2 linked regions of the Schizosaccharomyces pombe genome follow. The protein of the gene in region 1 interacts with the protein of each later gene in a biochemical or structural test. Each region holds a gene or a part of one and is shown on either strand. Other genes may lie near its edges.

The links. Proteins that work in one complex are often made in the same cells at the same time.
Region 2: the proteins of hal3 (region 1) and pzh1 form a complex in vitro, tested with the Schizosaccharomyces pombe proteins (one study listed by BioGRID).

Annotation. Positions count from the first base shown.
Region 1 is NC_003424.3:3,720,263-3,726,789, forward strand, and holds hal3 (thymidylate synthase), read left to right. Parts: upstream 1-3,493; 5' UTR 3,494-3,570; coding exon 3,571-5,448; 3' UTR 5,449-5,659; downstream 5,660-6,527. Other genes in the region: bud6 (actin-interacting protein 3), read left to right, coding at 1-701; SPOM_SPAC15E1.02C (uncharacterized protein), read right to left, coding at 1,048-1,494; rpl42 (60S ribosomal protein eL42), read left to right, coding at 2,247-2,546, 2,737-2,757; ect1 (ethanolamine-phosphate cytidylyltransferase), read right to left, coding at 5,660-6,527.
Region 2 is NC_003424.3:1,526,260-1,532,653, reverse strand, and holds pzh1 (serine/threonine protein phosphatase Pzh1), read left to right. Parts: upstream 1-2,881; 5' UTR 2,882-3,142; coding exon 3,143-4,690; 3' UTR 4,691-5,089; downstream 5,090-6,394. Other genes in the region: U3 snoRNP protein Utp14, read left to right, coding at 1-1,341; SPOM_SPAC57A7.07C (homocysteine methyltransferase), read right to left, coding at 1,539-2,465.

The DNA of each region.
Region 1 (6,527 bases):
GTTATCGTGATCAAATTCAGCTAGAAGTACTAAATCTAAAACCCGACAGTGAAGCACGACTACAGGCTATTGAGCGTAGTGAACTGTTGCAGAAAAAACGACTGTTGCAACGAGTAGATGAATTTTCAAAAGAAGTTAAAACTTTTGTTGAGAACGAAAAGTTGAATAAGATCGGAGGAGCGGAAGAGGCTGATCGAATTCGAACAATTCAAGATGAAAAAGTACGTAAAATTCTATGGGATGACTTTGTGTCATCGAAACGCAATGGAAAAAATGGAGGTAGTTTCATTGAGGAATCGAGTGACACTGTTTTAGACGAACATGTTGTGCCTGATAATTCTGCTAAAGCAACTGTTGCAGAAATAGACTACGGTTCACAGGTGGATACAGAGAATTTTATGTTAGAACGCAGTCCATTGGCAACTCCAAAGCCATTGAAGCAACCTGATTTTAATATATATGAGACGCCGATCGTCCGTAGTACAGCTCATGAAACAGATGATGAACAAACCCCTTCTAAATACTCCGATAACAGAGTCGAAAGTTCTAGTGATACAGTGTTTGAGAATACTGATCTTAAGTACGATAACAATGTACAGATGAGTAAAGTGACTCATCATGTAAGACACGATACGATATCCACTGATGACTATGACGCTTACGAAGATGCCGAAGATGTTGAAGAGACAAGCCTAACTTAATGTGCATAAGTTTTATTCGATTTGGCAATGATTGTATGCCAGTTTGTGTATTTTTTTTTTACTTTTTTTAACTTTAATTGTTACGAGAGAAATTACCCTGTATTACACTAGGACTGATGCAAATCTTGTGAATCAAGGATTTGCTGAATAGAGTTACAACATACCTTAATATGTACAGTTATAACAAGCAAAGGAAGCTTCGATGTTGTCCAATACCACTATTGGGATACTATTTTCACTTACAGTCTAACCAAATATGAGATAAACACAGAAAAGAAATCTTAGATATTAAAGAAAATTTGATTAACTTGTCGTTTTAAAAATCAGATATTGAACCATCGGAATCTTAAATACGACGTACGCCGTAACCGATCAAGGCAACACTTAAGCCTACTGATTTCACTAGAGAAGATATAGTTTTGACAAGGATGTAAGGGGTACCTCTGCTTTCTGTGAACATATAGTCGACTACGTCGGGCAATCCAGATGCACCAAATACATAAAGACCCACGAAAAAGGCACCTTTGAGTGTCACAGTGCCTGTAAGTTGCAACAATGCAGCGATCGAGTACGACTGAACTGCTGTACTAAGGAAATTGCTAACATAAGTTGTAGCAACCTTCTTGGTTTTACTTCCAGCGTCATATTCGACGTGAGGTGCAGTGCTCATTGCCCTTTTCCAAATATCGCCCATTAGGGGTCCATAAACGAGGAAAGAAGCAGCATGGTCGAAGGCAATCCCCAAGAGAATTGCACTAGGGCGTACATACGGCATGTGAGTGTAGGATGGCATTTCTTGTATTAATATTTAGTTTGAGTTAGAACAAGATTAATATGAATGTGAATATTTTGTAAAATAAATGTTTTGTAATTAAAGGATTTAAGGGCGCTACCACTAAATATATAGTATACTCAAGGTCCAATTATGGATTTAGGTACAGATTAATTTGGGGCGTCACTTTGACGTGTCGATGAAGTATGATAATTGGGAAATACTGCTTAGCCTGACTTGACTTGTTTTAAGTCGCTATTTCGCTATTTACATAGTGATATCTACATCATTTTCCTAAACTTTTGGTGGAGCAATATCTCATACTGTTCGGATGCTGTGCCAAGTCTTGCATAAAGAAATCAGTGAAGTCGATAAATATAAGATTTGGAGTGCAGCGATGGTAACAACTAGTGATTAAAAATAGAAATTTACTACAATAATTTTCGCATGTTTTACATTAAAAAGCCCTCACAGAAGAATCAAAGTTGGATTGAAATTCCAGCACTAAAACAATGTAGCTTAGAAATTTTGTTTGCTGGCCCACATTTGATATATTGCAAGCTTGATCTTACGCAGTAAACACTTTTAGGGTAGCTATCGGTTGTTCACACTATTGCGAACAGTGCGTTGAACGACATTACAGCAGCAAGTAAACCTAACCTAGAGGAATAAGAAACAGTCACATTTGTACAACAAGGGTTTAGCAGAGAAACTTTATGCTGTCGAGTTCCTAATCACCACCATCTAACCATCACTTATAAAAGTATCAAAAAATGGTGAACATTCCCAAGACCCGTAAGACTTACTGTCCTGGTAAGAACTGCCGCAAGCACACTGTCCACAGAGTCACCCAATACAAGAAGGGACCTGATTCCAAGCTTGCTCAGGGTAAGCGTCGTTATGACCGCAAGCAAAGTGGTTTTGGTGGTCAAACTAAGCCCGTTTTCCACAAGAAGGCTAAGGTTACCAAGAAGGTTGTCCTTCGTTTGGAATGCGTCTCTTGCAAATACAAGAATCAATTGGTTTTGAAGCGTTGCAAGCATTTCGAGCTTGGTGGTGAAAAGAAGACTAAGGTATGTCGAAGAATGCTGATAACGAGTGGATTGGATTTAGACGAATTTGTAAAAGAGTTTTTGCCGTGGTTGAATACCTCTCAAATCCAGAAAAAAAATTTTGCAAAGCGCTTTTATGAATTGTCTTTTGTTGAGTTTCATCCTTATTATCGATCATTTTCTTTATTTCATCTACTAACAATCATTTTAGGGTGCTGCTATCCAATTCTAAGTGTTTTAGCAAATACAATTTTCTTCTTTTACGGTGATCCTAAAAGCAATTCAAAGTAGTGTTTCATTTGTATTGTATAAATAATGACATGATTCCGATAGAGTAGCACACAAAGTGATGAGTTGTCATCAATTAGCAGTTCGCTAACGCTAAGGTCTGTTCTCAATATTGGAGCAATCTTTTTCGAGTGTTTCTAGTTCCATCGGTTTGAGTCAGAGCTTTTCAAGACTTGTATTACTGCTTGAGTAGAAGACAGGTGTTGTGATTTCGGAAAATAACCCATCACATTTGTCAGCATGTTAACTAAGATAAAAGTAATCAAACAAGTACAGCGTAAAATAGCGAGAGTACTAAAGCATCAAATATGCTTTCAAGTATTGCAAAAAAATTTTCTTTAAATTATCCATGCTTACGGGTCTTCTAAGGTTTAGGAGACTATGCCATTTGCCGAATTATGGATATATTAAGTAACTAATTGCTAATAGTGAGAGTGTAGTGCATCCTTGCATAACGGCACTTGGATTTCACACTGCAGGCATAATAAATAATTACTTTTTTTTGGTACTAAAGCAACGTACGTTCTTTGTTTTTCTGCGTACGACGTGTACAATTCCCTTGCAAAACTAAGGTTCGCTTGTTCAATTGCTAAATTTGTTTTTGTGGACGACCATTATAACGCGCTTCAATGAGTTTATAAAAGTTTCATTAAATTGCAGTACCAGATAAATCGATATCTAACCTTCTCCCTGCATCTATAATCTCTAGCTTCACCAACATTAAGGCCCGTCAATTACTTTCGTTTCGTTGGCCAATATGTCACAACCTTTGCATGCCAGGTTTGCTACCAGGGCTGTAAAAAATCCCATGATCCTTGAGAAAGAGCGACAACTTACGGATTCTAAATATCATATTTTGGTCGCTGCAACGGGTTCGGTTGCGGCGATAAAATTGACATTAATCGTTAAATCCCTACTGACATACAAGGGCGTCGACGTTCAAGTCGTTTTAACGGATCCGGCTCGTAACTTTGTTGAGAAAGAGGACTTAACGGCTTTGGGTGTCAATGTTTATAACAATGCGGATGATTGGAAAAATTGGGACGGACTCGAATGTCCTATCACACATATTGAGCTACGTCGATGGGCACATCTTTTGTTAATTGCCCCTTTAAGTGCAAATACTATGGCCAAAATGGCAAATGGTCTCTGTGACAATTTACTTACCTCTCTTATACGTGCCTGGGCCCCTTTAAAACCAATTCTCTTGGCTCCCGCAATGAATACCTTGATGTGGACTAATCCTATAACTCAGGAACATTTGAGCGCTATTAGCAGAATATACAAGAATAGTGAATTTATCATGCCAATCGAGAAAGTGCTTGCCTGTGGTGATATTGGCATGGGCGGTATGGCCGAATGGAGAAACATTGTAGGCAGAGTTGCCGATAAATTGCAGCTAGAACAAAAGTCTGTCTTGCCGAACGCTGTGAAAAACATCGATGGACAAGATGATGACTCTAGTGAACAAACTGCTGCTTTTGAAGAGTACGATGATGATGATGATGACGATGTTGATGATAATGAACAATCCAACAGTATGATTGAAACTTCTGCAAATGCAGATATTACCCCCAAGGCCTCTCTTTTACCCTCTACTACAGAATCTTCTATAAGCAAAGATCACGAGACCTCCCAAGCTCCATTAGGCTCGGAATCGGTGGATACTCAGGCCTCTGAAAATGTTACTACCAAACCCGAACCTCCTGTACCATTTACTTCCTCCGAATATAGAAATACAGAAGAAGAGCAATACCTAAATTTGATTCGATATATCCTTGAAAATGGCCAGTCGCGGCCCGATCGCACGGGAACTGGTACGAGATCGGTATTTGCTCCTCCACAACTACGCTTTTCTTTAAGGAATAATACTCTACCTCTTCTCACTACAAAGCGTGTTTTTTTACGTGGTGTGCTTGAAGAGTTACTTTGGTTTATTCACGGTGATACTAATGCCAATCATTTAAGTGAAAAAGGGATTCATATATGGGATGGCAATGGCAGTAGAGAATTCCTAGACAGCAGAGGGCTTACTGATCGTAAAGTTGGTGACCTCGGTCCTATATATGGTTTTCAATGGAGACATTTCGGAGCGCAATATGTTGATTGCGATACTGACTATACCAATAAAGGAGTGGATCAGCTGGCTCAGGTTATATCTACCCTCAAATTAAACCCTTATGACCGTCGTATAATTCTTTCAGCTTGGAACCCATTAGCTATTCCTGAAATGGCTTTACCACCTTGCCATATATTTTGCCAGTTTTATGTCAGTGAGCCTTGCAAGCCTGGGGGAAAGCCCCAACTTTCTAGTATGATGTATCAGCGCTCTGCCGACATGGGGCTTGGAGTTCCTTTTAACATTGCTTCTTATTCTCTCTTAACACATATGATAGCTCACATGTGCGGCTATGAAGCTGCCGAATTTGTTCACGTAATGGGTGATTGTCATATATACAATGATCATTTAGAGGCATTACAAACTCAGTTGGAAAGAGTTCCTAAAGCTTTCCCTAAGTTGTTTTTCAAACGTGATGCTAAAGACATAGGGTCTATTGATAGTTTCAGCGTTGATGATTTCGCAGTTGAAGGTTATAATCCTTATGGCCCTATTAAAATGAAAATGAGTGTCTAATTATTAGCCTTTCTTATATACGTTTGCTTCGTTGATGATTTTTGAAGTTGAAACACAATTTCTCTGTAATAGATTTTTTAGTTAATGGATATCAAAAGTTTAATAGCGATTGTATATGTTCATTTATAAAAGTTGCTAAAGCTTATTTAAAAGAAACGACAAGATGTTTAAAAGGATATTATGCTGTTAATTACTAAGACCAGGAGCAAAATTATGCGTAAGTTTTAATGGTCGTTTGTTCTGTAGCATTTTTACCCATTTTTCGACGCTGCCGTTCTTCATAATGCTGCCGACGTAACATAACCCGCTGCTTAATCAAATCAGAACCCAGCTTATCAAATTTATAAAAACTATTATTTGGGGTATTGGAAAGGCTAATGTCAAGCGCTGGTATGCTCACGTCAGTGGAAAATATTGGGTAATATACTTTCGAGATCTGCTCATCAAAACATAACTTTATGTATTTAGAAGATGCAAACAAAGATGCTGGTGGAGGACCAACGAGGATTGAAGATATATATTTGCATTGTAGTAAATTCAAGATACGCTCTAACAGATTAAGCATAGGCTTTTCGAAACATTTCTCATCCGCGAAAATACCTGCCATAATTGGAATACCCGGAAACATTCGAGTACAGAGTTCTAAAGCAGAAATATGCTTCTCTGTAAACAAATCCCAATCACCATCAATGTATATTATGTTCTTTTCGGGATTCAACCTTAGCAAGGTTGTGCCCGAAATAAGGGTTTCTGGCTTCTCAGTGTTATATATAAAAACATCAGTAAAAGGAGTTAGCCCGTCGGAATCAGTTGCAAATCTTCTGAGGAGATCAATTTGGGAAGAAAGTACCGATACAGGTGTAGAATAAATCTCTAAAGGAACCGAACTAAGTAATCGATCTAGGAGCTCGGTAGTGCTCACTCCCTCCGTCCTTTTAACTTCTAAGTATTGGTCTGCTGCTTTAGCAAATCTATAACAATCGTCTCCATTGGCGTCTGTAGATATATCGTCACCATGTACAACATACTGACACCCATATCTTCTCATCCATTCCAAATCAAACACATATGGTGCAGAG
Region 2 (6,394 bases), 2.2 Mb from region 1:
CGGATTAAATCTGAAGAAGCTCGTGCTTTGGAAAGAATGACTCAACGTCACAAAAACACAAGCTCTTGGACCCGTAAAATGCTTGAAAGGGCGTCACATGGTGAAGGAACCCGTGAAGCAGTCAATGAGCAAATACGGAAAGGAGACGAGCTTATGCAACGTATCCATGGTAAAGAGATATCTGAAATGGATGGAGAAGATGTTTCTGAGTTCTCGGATAGCGATTATGACACAAATGAACAGGTGTCAACCGCTTTTGAAAAAATACGAAATGAAGAGGAACCAAAGTTAAAAGGTGTACTGGGCATGAAATTTATGCGTGATGCGTCCAATCGACAAAAGGCTTTAGTGCAAGATGAAATGCAAGCATTCGAAGACGAACTCGCAGGAGTACCCAATGAAGATGATACATCTCAAAAAGGAGAGGACGGGGTTCCTGGAGTATTAATAGGGAATAATACAGGCCGTCGTTCATTTAAGCCTTCCGAAGAAGCTGCAAAATTATCTTTGCCATCAAGGAAAAATCCCTTTGTTTCTGATTCAGCGGTGCTGAAAGTCAACAAACCGGAAATGAAGGAAGGACAAAAGAAGGCCGAAGCTCGAAAAAAAAAGGAATCACCATTAGAAGCAACTGAGGAAACTAATCCATGGTTGCAAGTACCTGACCAAAGGACCTCTTCTGCCAAAAAGTTGGATAAAAACAGCTCTAAGGCAGACAAAAAGAATCACAAGTTAAAAATGGACAAAGTTGCCTCCCTTCAAGAACTTGTCGAAGAACCTAAAGTTCAGCCTGATTTAATTTTTGAAGAAAAGGCTTTTGAATCAGCGTCGGAAGCGGAATCGGATGTTGATGTTTCGGTACCTATGTTAAAGCCAACCAAAGGTCGTTTGTCAATTAAGCAGAGAGAGCTTGTTGCTAAAGCATTTGCTGGCGACGATGTTGTCGCTGAATTTGAAAAGGATAAAGAAGACTGGGTTCAAGAGGATGCACCGAAAGAAGAAGATCATAGTTTGCCCGGTTGGGGTTCATGGGGAGGTGTTGGCGTAAAACAAAGAAAGACTAAGCCTAAGGTTAAAAAAATTGCTGGACTAGATCCGTCAAAGCGGAAGGATTCTAAGCTAAAGCATGTGATTATTAATGAAAAACGCAACAAGAAAGCTGCTAAGCTTACTGCTGATAGTGTTCCGTTCCCATTTGAATCACGAGAACAGTATGAACGATCTCTTAACTTGCCTATGGGACCAGAATGGACTACTCGAGCTTCACATCATAAGGCTGTTGCTCCCAGAGTTGTTACCAAACGTGGTAAAGTCATTAATCCTATTAAGGCACCTAATTAGATTCTTATATGTACATTGAGTTTTGGATTTTTGTTATTAGATTGATATCTTTTGCAGTAGATTAGATACATTTGTAATGGATTTTGGGATATTGGGAAGAAATATATATTTTGAGGTAAATACTTTAAACAAGAAAAAAATTAATTCAATACAAATATATTAATATCATGAGGAAAATTAATTAAAATGGTTATAATTTACTTCGTTTTCTCCCGGAGTAAAGATAAGTGATTATAATTTGTTTCACAGCATCCACCGAGTATCAGGTTTCCATTATGTAGATTTGAGTATTTAGCCGTTATAGTTGACCATTCTTCAGGTGAAGGGGCAGGATGATCTGTTGAGCCAGGTGAAAAAGTACCGTCTGGATTTTGATACAACCCGCGGCCGTCAGGGTACAAAATAGCAGTTATGTTGGATGGTAAAAGACTGGATAGCATTTTTGCGATGGGTTCGAGTAAACTGAGGTGAAAGCAATTAACACCGATGCCCCATATAGAGTCATGATTGATGCTCAGTATCTTGGAGATAATGGACGATACTCGTTCAATAGTGCTGCGCTCAGGGCACGTACAGGTGATCCAGCAACGCTTAGACCAACCTTTCATATCTTGAATGAGTTGGCATACTACTTCTGCTTCAGTCACGTGAGGAAGGCTTTCAAATGCAATGAAGTCAATTTTTTCGAAAGCTTTAGGATTAGATGCTTGAATGGCTTCAATTCTGTTTTTATGAAAATTGTATAGCATTTCAAAATCGGTGGGTTTATCATAAATCATTTTGTATTCCATACATCCAGGAATAGTAGCAGCATGACTTCCGAGACATAAAGCAATATATTTGTTGGGCAAACCCAAATGTTCTCTAGCATAAACAGGTAACCCAATGCTGTTTGCGTAAACCTGTTTTAATGGTACACCTTCTACCTTTTCGTCGTAGATAGAAGCATCCAGTTGATAAGTGAAAGTACTAATAATGTCGCAAACTTTTAAAAATTCTTCATGATGCTTAACAACGATCTCTGGATAACGCACCAGTGCTTCAGAGGTCCATAATCTAGACTCAGATATACTTTCAGGAAGCTTTGGAAGAATGGCAGTAGAGCCACCGTCTAACATAAGCATTTTGGAAAACTCAAAAATTGGGAAAAATAGTTCAACGAACAGCAAAAATGGTATCTCAGGTTATACACTAGTATTAACAGATGTAACTGCCTTTTGATGGATATTACAACAGTTTAGAGAATATCGCACAATCAGAAACCCAATCGACCCAAAACAAAAACATTTGAGTAAGAATCAGACTAGTATATAACGTAACGCGAAATTTTTCCATATTTAATTTAACGTTAATTTACGTGGATCAATTGCGCCTTTTATTTTACTTTGGAATACACTGCAGTTATTATACAGTAAGTGCGCCATCATCGTTGCACCACACTAGATGGACCCAGCGAGTTCAGTTCTCGAGTAAGATGGAACGGGCTACTACGTCTATCAGATTTATACTACACTTCCCATCACTTGTTAACCCATTCTTCACCACGACCTTACAAATTTTTAAACGATTGTGTTTTGTCAGCAAAGCAAAACATTTTTATAGACCAGGATTACTTGAAGAAGAGAAAATCTACTAATTTACGGAAAATATCGAAAAATAGAAAAAATCTAGGTACAATTGGGAAACCTTTTAATTTTGGCACTAAATGCAAGCAACGAAGTCTCGATTTTGAAGTAAAAAAGAAAATAAAAATAGAACAAAGTGGAATAGTTTCCCGGAATCTACCATTAATTGAAATACAATGGGACAGGGGAGCAGTAAACACGCCGACAGCAAGCTCGATTCCTACCCATCCTTTTCTCGGTCAGACACTCAAGGATCCATTAAGTCTTTAAAGTCTCTGAAAACAGTCCTGGGGAAGGGCAAAGACTCGAATCATGATCGCCGAACGTCTACTGATACAACCCATAGTCGTCACCGGTATCCCGAAACACCACCAAGCCTTCCTCCTCCTCCTTCTCCTGGGATATTAGCTACATCTCCGGCTGTGTTGCAAAAGCATCAACAGGAGGATTCGGGAAATTCTTCTCAATCTCCGACGTCGCCGCATCCTTCTAACCAGCCTGCCATGCTTAGTCCCTCTACGGCCGCTTCCCAGCATCATCATCATCATTCTTCTTCTTCTTCTTATGCCGTTTCTCCAACATCACCTACCTCACCAACCAGCTCTGGCCCAATTGGCTCCAACTTTGATTCAGCTTCTGAGCATAATGGTCCTGTGTATCCACAAGATCAGCAGGGGCCCGTAATTATCCCTAATTCGGCAATTTCTTCTACGGATCCTGATGATCCTGAAACAGTTGTTAGCCTTAACGTAGATGAAATGATTCAAAGATTGATCCATGTTGGCTATTCTCGAAAAAGTAGTAAAAGTGTGTGTCTAAAGAATGCTGAAATTACCAGCATTTGTATGGCCGTACGAGAAATATTTCTTTCGCAGCCGACACTTTTAGAATTGACCCCGCCGGTGAAAATCGTTGGTGACGTTCATGGTCAATATTCCGATTTAATTCGACTGTTTGAAATGTGTGGGTTTCCTCCGAGCTCTAATTATTTATTCTTAGGCGATTATGTCGATCGTGGTAAGCAGAGTCTTGAAACCATCCTCTTGCTCTTTTTGTACAAGATCAGATATCCAGAAAACTTTTTCTTGCTACGGGGCAATCATGAATGCGCTAATATCACTCGCGTTTACGGTTTTTACGATGAGTGTAAAAGACGTTGCAATATCAAAATTTGGAAGACTTTCATAAACACCTTTAATTGCTTACCCATTGCGTCCGTTGTAGCCGGTAAAATTTTTTGCGTTCATGGTGGTCTTTCTCCATCGTTAAGTCATATGGATGACATACGGGAGATTCCTCGTCCTACTGACGTTCCTGACTATGGATTGCTGAATGATTTGTTATGGTCAGATCCTGCTGATACTGAAAACGATTGGGAAGATAATGAACGAGGTGTTTCTTTTGTTTTCAACAAAAACGTTATCCGGCAATTTTTGGCCAAGCACGACTTTGATTTAATCTGTCGTGCTCACATGGTTGTTGAAGACGGTTATGAATTTTTTAATGACAGAACTTTATGTACGGTGTTTTCTGCCCCTAATTACTGTGGGGAATTTGATAATTGGGGGGCCGTGATGAGTGTTAATTCAGAGCTGCTTTGTTCCTTTGAACTTATAAAGCCTCTCGACCAGGCAGCAATTCGACGAGAATTAAAAAAGAGCAAGCGTAGTGGTATGGCTATTTATCAATCTCCCCCTGCTGAGCAGGTTACCCAAAGCGTGTAAGCATTCTATTTTTTCTATTTTGGTCTCCATTTGAAATTATCTAGCGGTTTTATTGGGACACTATTTTATTCTCTTAAATGAGTATTATCTGTTATTATGTTATAGTCACTATGGTGATGGATCAAGTCCTTGGTTCACTTTATCGGTTCGAGGGCAATTCCATCCTGACACGTTTAGTATAAGTTTCTGTTTCTTTTAATAAAAACACAATCATTTCCATATAGTGACAGTTAACTTGCTTTTTATTTTTGCTAACCGACACCTGCTGAACATCGAAAGAGTAGGTAAAAAATTTACATGAGGAGGAAATAAACAATTATTATAGTATTATTATTAGCATTAAATAAATTTAAAGCGAAAATGTATCCATTTCTTTGTAAATCTTCTATCAATTACTAATCTCCCATACGATGGGCTTAAAACAACACTTTGAAAACTAAAGTTGAATGTGGTATCGTACTTAAGTACTTCTTTCCATGATCCATTTGTGATAAGTATTTTGGTTTCCTTATTGTATAATGAGTAAGCTACTTTTGTTGCATAATGCTGCCAAGTAGGCAGTTCTTTGATAAATCTCCTGCGTTGTTTTGTTTGTGTCAGCTTTTTCGTTCAATCAAGATATTTTATCACATTATTTCAAGGTTCAATGAATCATTCGAAGAATAGTAACGAATTCAGATATATTAAATAAAGGCACACATAATCTCTAAAGATTACAGTTTAATGGCTCTTTCAAAGTGTTTAGTAATATATACACTAAATTTCTAAAATTCAGTAGTTATGGCGAAGTGGCCGAGTGGTCTATGGCGCTAGCTTCAGGTGAAAGCAATTGCTAGTCTACGTATGTGGGCGTGGGTTCGAACCCCACCTTCGTCAATATAATTTTTTATATCATGTTAATGGAATTGAGAAAAAGCAAGCTGTCAGTTTATACTTTCAATGTTATGCAGAAACCGTTTTATTTCAATTATTTACACTGTTTGACACTACTAAAGCAGAGTTAATTGTAATGAGACATAACGGTACATGGTGCTTCGACTTTCATAACCATTAAAGAAAAGAAGAATGTCTTGATTTTGGCTTATTTAAAGACCCATTGTGACTGGAAAAACAAATGACCCTACGTAGTAAAGGGTAAAATGAATTTTTTTTAATTTTTTTTTTAGATTCAATGTAGAAATATAATCGATTATCAGATTCATTGTCATGCCTGATAATCCATGTATGATACTATGCAAAGATATAAAGAGAATTTTCTTCTTTTTTAAAAGTTGTTTTAAAGATAGAGGATGTTGTTTTTAAGCTGCTGAAACTGAATAATATAAGAAATCTAACGAGCAAGAGAATGCTCGACTTATGTTTACAATATTATATAGCTAAATATCTTAAGTTCTTATTATATAACTTTATACAGTACAATGATACTTTTCAATATTATATAAGTATTTACCTCTTTTGATCAGATACAAAGTATCTTTCAAGAGAGCTTGTTTTCTACTGACTGTTTCGTCTTTAAAATAAGTTGATTGGGAATAAATTGTATTAATTTTTTTTATCCCTCGCAAATATCGGATTTCCTTTTGTTGAACACTGCAACTTGCCTTAATGCTGACAATGTTACTAATCAATTGAATAATCCTGGCAACTACTAGTGAAAAGGGTTTTAAAATAAAATAAAATATCTCAAAATAGCTTACGCATACC